Nothobranchius furzeri: one gene and its partner. The protein of the gene in region 1 binds, or shares a complex with, the protein of each later gene. Links are inferred from orthologs where the notes say so. Each region holds a gene or a part of one and is shown on either strand. Other genes may lie near its edges. The genes, in order: gtf2e2 and polr2g.

What was found.
Region 2: gtf2e2 (region 1) and polr2g share a complex: the UniProt entries of both Homo sapiens proteins name them as parts of the TBP-based Pol II pre-initiation complex. The link is inferred for Nothobranchius furzeri from reciprocal best matches to the Homo sapiens genes GTF2E2 and POLR2G.

What each region holds. Positions count from the first base shown.
Region 1 is NC_091747.1:77,627,069-77,631,683, reverse strand, and holds the start of gtf2e2 (transcription initiation factor IIE subunit beta), read right to left. Parts: upstream 3,050-4,615; 5' UTR 2,841-3,049; intron 2,344-2,840; 5' UTR 2,339-2,343; coding exon 2,179-2,338; intron 1-2,178. UniProt on the Homo sapiens protein: Recruits TFIIH to the initiation complex and stimulates the RNA polymerase II C-terminal domain kinase and DNA-dependent ATPase activities of TFIIH. Both TFIIH and TFIIE are required for promoter clearance by RNA polymerase.
Region 2 is NC_091741.1:90,872,854-90,877,298, reverse strand, and holds the start of polr2g (DNA-directed RNA polymerase II subunit RPB7), read left to right. Parts: upstream 1-1,625; 5' UTR 1,626-1,778; coding exon 1,779-1,790; intron 1,791-2,038; coding exon 2,039-2,148; intron 2,149-2,305; coding exon 2,306-2,465; intron 2,466-2,616; coding exon 2,617-2,667; intron 2,668-2,756; coding exon 2,757-2,822; intron 2,823-2,978; coding exon 2,979-3,050; intron 3,051-4,445. Other genes in the region: uncharacterized protein si:ch211-175m2.5, read right to left, coding at 718-817, 893-1,060, 1,126-1,179. UniProt on the Homo sapiens protein: Core component of RNA polymerase II (Pol II), a DNA-dependent RNA polymerase which synthesizes mRNA precursors and many functional non-coding RNAs using the four ribonucleoside triphosphates as substrates.

The DNA of each region.
Region 1 (4,615 bases):
TCCCATGTGGGTTAACATAGTATGTCTGTTACAAAAATACACATTTGATACTTGTCACATTAAATACGCCAATGCATTTCTTATAGTACCATATTTTAATTTTGTTGTGATAAAAGTAACTTTTAATAGTTGTAATCACTAATAAACAGAACAAATTCGTCACTTGTTTGCATATGCAAACTTTGGAAATAAATTTGATGGGTAAATGTATTAAAGCAACTCTAAAGAGATCTAACACTGTAAGTTATTGTTTTGAAACTGGTTTCAGCGTTTCTTGGGCCAGAAACTTGAGCAATTTCACATTGAACAGCACTGTGGCCCTCTGCTGGCAGATCCACTCCATGACGACAGTGTTTGACAGGGAGGGGGTGTCATCAATACAGTTGACAATAATATTTTTTGTTCTAAAGTGTGGATCTGTTTACTTTGTGGCTAATTCAGTATCAGCTGGCACGTGTTAGCATTAGGTCGTTGTCAATGTTAGCTACAGCAGGTTGCAACAGGTTTGCTTATGAAAGTTGTAATTCTGCTTTCAACCAGTAGGAGGGAAAATGAGAAACTTAGGCCTAGTCCACACGTAGCCGGGTTTTTAAAAAAACAAATATCCGCCCCTCCAAAAACTTGCATTTACACCACCTCGTTTTAAAAAAAACTCTGTCCACTCGTACCAGGATAAATACGTTGTTAAGGACACGCCAGACCTGTAGGCGGCAGTACTTCTCCCGTTCTTAACCTCGTCCTTCGTCTGTGGTCTTCCGCAAGGAGCAGTAATTCCGCTTGCAAAAACAAACAAGCAAAAAGCGCTTGGACAATTGATAAAGCGAGTGCAGCTCTGAGGGCATTCATGCTGTCGGCTAGTGTAAACACAGGTCGCACACGTGATGTCAGCGTTTTTTTGTCGCGGAAAGTGACGTTGCGGACCTTAAAACTCCGGTTTTGTCTGTCCACACGCAGACACCCAAAACGGAGAAAACGCAGATCTTCACTTTGGCCGGAGTTTTTAAAAAGATCCGTTTTTGTGTGAAAAAAACTCAGTTTTCGTGTGGATGACAGGCCAAAACGTAGAAAAATATCTACGTTTTGGCAAATCCCCGGCTACGTGTGGACAGGGCCTTAAGTGTTGCTGTAAATATTGAGAATCATGACTTCCACAATCAGGCACCCTAGGTTTTTGCCATTTATTTATTAAATTCCTGGGTGTAATTGTGCACACGGATAGTGCAATATCAAAAATAAATATTGTTTGCAGCCCTAGAAATCCTAATGACATTGTTAATATTAAGGACCAACTCATTGTGGCCAGACAAGTACGACGACAGAGTTCTGCTACTGAGACATCAGGATCCACCAGCAGTGTGTTGGTTAGAAACTGCTGCTATGTGACATCTTGCAAGCTAAAAAGCCCAACTGTTACCAAGACAACAGGAGAAATTAGAAAGTGAGCACACACAGAAACAAGTTATACTCAGAATTACACACCAAACTTGGACTACATTAGACGACAAACTGATGTCAGTGTAAAACCACTGATTGTTTTGAGCTCATTCAGATATTTCATGGATGTGTCAGATAATCATGATTACTACAAATCCTGCAGTGAATAAGTCTAGACTCAACATCCTTGTCACATTTTAGGTCCAGACACATATTCTCTTCTAATCCTCAGCCTAAATGATAACTGTAGGTTACTATCAAATGTAACTTTTAAAATGTACATGTGATAACTTTAAGTTATTTAAGGCAGATGCTAGCAAACACAGATTTTTAAAAAGTATCTGATTTTCTAGATGTAAATGGCAGCAAATAAGGTGACAATAGAGATATGCAGCTACTGAGATCATGGCAGAAGCAGCAAGATCTGGAGTGGGGAATACGGTTTTCAAGACTCTCAAATCAGGTGTAACACTTTAAGTCACACTTGCTCTGTTTGTCACCTACATAATCTCAAAGCAGTAGTCCACTAGTCTGGCAAGCCAGACTAAATAAATATATTATTTAAATATATTAACTAAATCTGCAAAGCAGGAATTTGTTCTTGTTCACTTGGCTAGTAGTCCACATGCTTTAAGACTGACAGCAAACCAGCAACAAACATGGGATTCATAAACTTGCAACAACGGCAAAATAATGTTTACTGTGAGAATCATGAACCATGTTAAGAGCAAGTGCTTCACCTACCAGTGCTGTGTTTGGAGCCAGATGAGCTCTCCTTGTCTAGTTTTGGTTTCTTCTTCTTGTGTGATCCAGAATCGGACGTAGTCTGTCTTTTCTCTACAGCTGGAGTAGACAGGGCTCTCTTTTTGAACAGCTCCCTCTCTCTAAGTAGAGCCGGATCCATCCTGGCTGACAGGAGCAGAATATATTAGACACTTGCAGTCTGCGAGTAATATACCACAAACAAATGGATTCACATGTTTCTGATCTAACACTCATTTTTTAAAAATATTTAAAATAACTAATTGTTTTGTTTACATACCAGTGCTGTCATTTTTACACGGTGAATTGTCTCCCAGCTGTTTGTATTTCTCTTGAAAATATGGAAAGTTTTAATAAACTATTTTAAAGTTTTATTAAATCTTTTTCAGGTGTAGGAAGCTTAGGGGAATTAAAATAGTGCGTGTACCTTAACTAGACACCACCTTGTAGTTTTAAAATGAACCAGACCGTAACGAACACTGGTCAGTAAACCCCTATTACCGTTATCAAACTAACGTTATTGACTTATCTAACACAATCATGTTTAATTACGAAAAGTGCTAAATTACTGAGCAAACGAAACACAATTATACACTATTCTGGTGGCTAACGTAGCGTTAGCATGTTCAGTTAGTGAACGTTACCTGACACTTTGTTTCTCTTCACTCAGAACAAAAACTAGTTAGTCCAAAAGGACTAACTAATGACGAACGATACAAAATATATTACTCTCCAAATCGTGTTTTCCGTTGTTTCTGCGACTAAACAAATTACAGTTAGCAAAAAACTTCTCACTGATTTCTTCTATGTAACACTTCCGTTTCTTCTGTTCGACTACTCCCACATCGATAGGTAATCCTTGAACGTCATTGCGTCATTTCACACATGCGTGGAAAACATTTCAGTGATGCTTTTTTCGGACTCTTAAACACACATTTTATGATATATTGAAATATATTTTCCGGCATTTAAAAAAATGTATCATTTTTGTATGGAAGCCCATTCCTGCCACTCAGATAAAAAAACATTATTTCATAATTATGATTCAGCTATAGTGTTTATATACATATCTATATCTATGATGGCAATCATATGCGACTGGAGGTGAGCTCAAGTCGCCATTTTGCTGCTGCCAGGTCCTCTTGTGTGATAATATCCCAATTAAACCATATACCTTGGTATTACAATTCAATCAGAAAGGTGTATAAGCCAGATAAATACAGGGAATAAGATTGCTCAAACTGATAAATCCTTAAATCATTGGTTAATCAGCAACCAAATTAATTTAGGACAAAAATGGCAGAAGTAATAGTTCAGAAAATTATCAGCCTATAGCTCTGGCTAATGTTTTGTCTAAAGTGCTTGAACATGTTCTTTTGGACAAACTGATGCCATTTGCTAGAACTACAGACTCTCAGTTTTGGTTTAAAGTGGTGTGTTTACATGCAGCCAGTAACCCTTTAAAACCCCGAATATTCACAATAACCCGGTTCCGCAATGTAAACACCGCCAAAAACCCAGATATGCTCATAATATATATATATATATATATATATATATATATATATATATATATATATATATATATATATATATATATATATATATATATATATATATATATATATATATATGTATGAACTGTTAAATTAAAAGAGTGCAGGACTGGTTGCTTGGTGGGAAATCAGTTATTCAATCACCTCATGTATGCTGATGATTTGGTGGTATTTTCCCCATACAGTGCTGGTCTGCAGCAGCTGCTTGAGGTACTTAAAAGAAACATTGTCGTTGTTGTCTTCCTCCGCTTATCCGGGTATGCAGAGGTCACCACTGGCCACTAGGGTGTGTGGTGATCAAACCTCGAGAGAAAAAGGTGTATTCAGGGATGTGCCTGAAGTCACGTACATGTGACTATCCCCTGCAGGGACGTGCCTGAAGTCACGTACATGTGACTATCCCTGACTGTACATACTGCTGCTTCTCATTTGTATTGCTGCTGCTCCACCATCACGCTGCTGTCTATCCATGCTACTGTTCGACTTGTATCTGTAAGTCTTCACCTGCTTGTTAAGCTAATGTAAAGGTCACATTGATTTTCTCCAAAATGACTGTGCTTAAATTGCTCTGAAAAGCAAATAATCACATCAGCACCAAGAAACTTCATTTCCCATGATGCTTTGCACACGGAAGCATTGGGATGATGTCACCGCCTAATACCAGAAACACGTTCTGCGCATGTGCGGGAGGCCGTGGAGCTTTTCCCGCGAACTAAGACCATAAATCTTCAGCAGAGACAAAGAAACCTCGTTCTTTTGCCCAGGATACCTGGCGGTAAGGACACGCTTGTCGAACGCTCCGACTCCCTTGAGCACGCGGAAGCTCTAAGTGCCCAAGTTGAGCCACGCAACCGCTACAAAGC
Region 2 (4,445 bases), on another chromosome or scaffold:
AGAGCATGGCTGATACTAAGATTCAGGTACCTGGTCGAGTTTGGAACGGTTTGGGAAAAATCTCTTTAAGAGTCGTTTTGTGTTTTGAACCCTCCCACTGTCCTAATAGGCGTGACCCCGCGAGGAAAACAGACCATTGAGCAGGGTTGATGGTTTATCCCTTGAATCCATGTGGCAGGGGTGAGTAGTGAGCACCGCCTCACCCCTTTCCTTGCGGGGTCACCCATAAAGACAGTGGGAGGGTTAAAATAAAAACGTTAGCTGCTTGATCATCTGTTTAACACTTGCAGTCTAACTTTAAGAGTCACCTGTTTTCTTTAGATGTTCAGTTAGTTAACATAATACATACAAAATCCACATTCCTCCCAATTGTTCTGCAAAAACAGAAAGAGGTAGAGACACAAATTAAACTTGACTTATTGAAAATATATTTAACAATTTTTTTCACTTTCATCACGTGATCATCCGCTGGAACAAATCCAGCATCACAGCTTCTACAAAAGGTTATCCTCTAGTCCTGTTGAGTCATAACACAGGACAAACATCCTTATTTGCAACACAAATAAGAAGTGAACGAAGTGTTTAGTTCACTGAACCCTGGCTTGGACACGTTGGGAGGGTTGAAGGTGCTGAAGAACGGGTTGCTTTTTATTCTAAACACTGCATCGTGTGTCTGTATTTATCTGAACTGAGGCCACTACATCAGAAAAAACCAACCTGTGTCCTTGTTCATCAGTTCATTGTAGTAAGCGAAGAAGGCTCTGAACTCAGCTGGTCTGTGGGAGAGGGCTTTGAAGACATTTGGCAGGAAGCCTCCCTGTGCACAAATATGAGCAGATTAATGATAAAGGCGTGTGATCGCGAGACCTAAAGGCTGGTTTTAATTTAAAACCTTTGACTCCACTTCCTCCATGAGCTCAACTATATCATAAGGCAGGTCCTTCTTGTAAGGAATGGGATAGCGGCTGATCTTCTCCGGAAGGGTGCCGGAGGACGGTCTGGTCCCAGCCGCCACTGCAGCCACCTTACCCCGAAACAAGCGACCCGACCGGAGACACGCCTGCACAGACAGCCGAAGAGTCAGATAAACAAAACACACAATCAAATCTACGGTTCGCTACTTACAATTTTAGAGGTGACAGGAAGACGAAGCAACTTGAAAACGAGGTTGCTCGCCATGACAGAAGGAGGACTTGGAGAGTAATTTTAACCACGGAGACAAAATTCCTATTTTCTTTCTAATGATGTAGCAGAATTGTTTATTTTAATCTATTTCGTTCTTTAAAACTTCAAACCACCTGTAGTGTGGTCCCAATGACCGCTAAACAACATGACGATTGTGCTAAAGTTGGATTACTTTCACCTAAATAAATTGTTTTCGCTTCGTCTGTGTGTCAGATAAGAGTCCACTAAAAAACAGCCAATCACAGAGCGGCTTTCAGTCACGCCTATTGTTTTCCACGCCTCTCTGCAGTAATACTTCCTCGCCACAAGAAAGCAGTATTAAAATGAACCGACGGTGGAACTCGTTTAAATCGGATTACTTATTCCGTTAATTGTTTTTAAATAAACAGTTTTTAAAAATCCCTGAAGATAATTTTATTTTTTTTATTTCCCGTTACAATACAATTTACAACAAAATTTCAAGAATCCTCTTTGACCCGGAAGAGGTTCTTCTACGCCGGACGTCCATGATTCCCTTTCAACAAAGAACAAGAGAAGCCACTTCGACGTATTTAAAAGTATATTTTTAAGGTGGAATTTAAACTTATCAAGAAATGTTTTATCACGTGAGTATGTACATTGTTCTCGTAATCGGGGGTAGCTGAAGGCTTAATGGATGTTTCGATTTGGATCGTTTATCAACAACGTCGTAGTCTTTCCCTCTTCTTCTAACCTGGACTAGTTTTCATATTTTTAATCAACGTGACATTTTATTCATCCATTACTCAATCTACAGAGGCTGGTTTATGCATTTTTAAAATACGAACGTGTGCACAACCAATTTACAGATGAAGGATTTTGTTGCACTTTACAGATTTCTTTGGAGCATGAAATCCTTCTCCACCCCAGGTACTTCGGTCCCAATCTACTTAACACCGTGAAGCAGAAGCTTTTCACAGAGGTAGAGGGAACTTGTACTGGCAAGTGAGTAACAGCATTTTATTATTGTTCATGATAACTTTAACTGGGCTTTGCAACGACTGAAAGCGTTAATGAAACATTGACTATGGCATAACTAGATCAACGTGTTGCTGCCTTGTTAAAAAGTTGGATTAACTCTTTTGTTTTTTCTGTTTCCCAGGTATGGATTTGTCATTGCAGTAACCACTATCGACAACATCGGAGCGGGTGTCATCCAGCCAGGCAGAGGTTTTGTCCTCTATCCAGTCAAGTACAAGGCCATTGTTTTCCGCCCGTTTAAGGGCGAGGTGGTGGACGCTGTGGTCACTCAGGTTAACAAGGTATGGCTCACTCATCTTTAGTCATTGTTCTTCGTAGCAGATCTTAATTCTTTAGCAGAACTTCACGCTTGTGAAAACTAAACAAATTGAGGATTGTTATGCCAGTACGTTTGCGCCTCGCCTTTTTTAACCTTTTTCTGTTTGCTTGCAGGTTGGATTGTTCACAGAAATCGGTCCCATGTCTTGCTTCATCTCTCGCCATGTAAGTCTGTTAAAGCATCGGTTTCACTAGAATCATCTTTTTATTTCATTATTTATTTAATGTTGTTTTGATCATATTTTTATTTTCAGTCCATCCCCACAGAAATGGAGTTCGACCCCAATTCTAATCCACCTTGCTACAAGACTGGCGATGAGGTTGAATATCTGTAACTTTTCTATTTTACTGCTGCTTGTTTAAACAGTCATATTAATAAAAATCAACTTCAGCATGTAAAAAGTTCTGCTTTTTTTCCCCCTAATGTGTAAATGTTGCTCTATCACACTTTTGTTGATGCTTCTTACTTTTTATAGGACATTGTAATCCAGCAAGATGATGAGATCCGGCTGAAGATCGTGGGAACACGAGTCGACAAGAATGACATTGTGAGTTTATGTTCTTTTTTAAAGTCACTACAGTTGTTTAGTTCATGTTTCCTTATTACTTCATATTATTTATACACACTGCCTGGCCCAAAGAAAAGCTGCCATCCAAAAAACGTCACACATTCCAATACTTCGTTGGACCACCTTTAGCTTTGATTACGTCACACATTCGCAGTGGTGTTCTTTCGATGAGCTTCTCCAACGTCACCAGATTTGTTGCCATCCAGTGTTGCATTAATATTTCACCAATATCTTGCATTGATGGTGGTAGAGTCTGACCGCTGCACAAATCCTTCTCCAGCACATCACAAAGATTCTCAATGAGGTTGAGGTCTGGACCGTGGTGGCTGATCCATGCGTGAAAATGCTGCCTCATGCTCCCTTGGGGCGACGGTGGCACAGGAGTTAAGTGCTCGCCCCGTAATCGGAAGGCTGCAGGTTTGAGCCCCGCTCAGTTTGTTATTGTGTCCTTGGGCAAGACACTTAACCCACATTGTCTGCTGGTGGTGGTCGGAGGGACCGGTGGCGCCAGTGCTCGGCAGCCTCGCCTCTGTCAAAGCACCCCAGGGCAGCTGTGGCTACTAGTGTTGTCAAAAAAATCGATACCCAGATATAAATCGATACTAAAAGTGGTATCTAAATGAGATATTCCATCCCTGTGGTATCGATATTATGGACTATTATACACAGCCTTCTTCAAGTACACCGACACGCACGACAGCCAGATGCCGTAAAGCAGCCTCCGCCTCCCAGACAAACAGAAGAAGAAGACGCCGCATGGCTACATTGCAATTTCCCACGCGAGTTGTCTCCGATCCAAGTTTTGTCTGCCAAATAAATAAACAAAAACATAAACAGCGAATTTGGGAGGCGCTTCACAGCCCAACTTAATTAGCATACCAAGTCCAACACGTAGTTGTATATTCACGCTTATGTGCTTAAAGGAAAACTCCTGTTTATTGCAACCCGGACTTAATTTCTAGCATGCAGTACGTTTGTTTACTCACGCTGACAACTTTGGTGCTACTTGGCAGAGGTGGAAAGTAACGAATTACATTTACTCACGTTACTGTAATTGAGTAGCTTTTTTGTATATTTATACTTTTTAAGTCGTTTTTAAAAGCTGTACTTTTACTTTTACTTGAGTAAGTTTTTAAAAAAGAATTGTAATTCACTACATTTTAAATGATATCCATTACTGAGTAAAAATAAATTATAGGCTTAATAAATTAAAAATATTACGTGTTGCAGCGTCGGAACAGAAAGAGACACCTGCATGATCACCGCGTCTTTTGCTCAAAGACATCAGTTCAGTCGATCAACTCGCTGTTTACCTCCTCTCTCTCTTCTCTCCTGTGGGTTGGAACCCGCACCTTCGCGCACCGGTGTGACGTC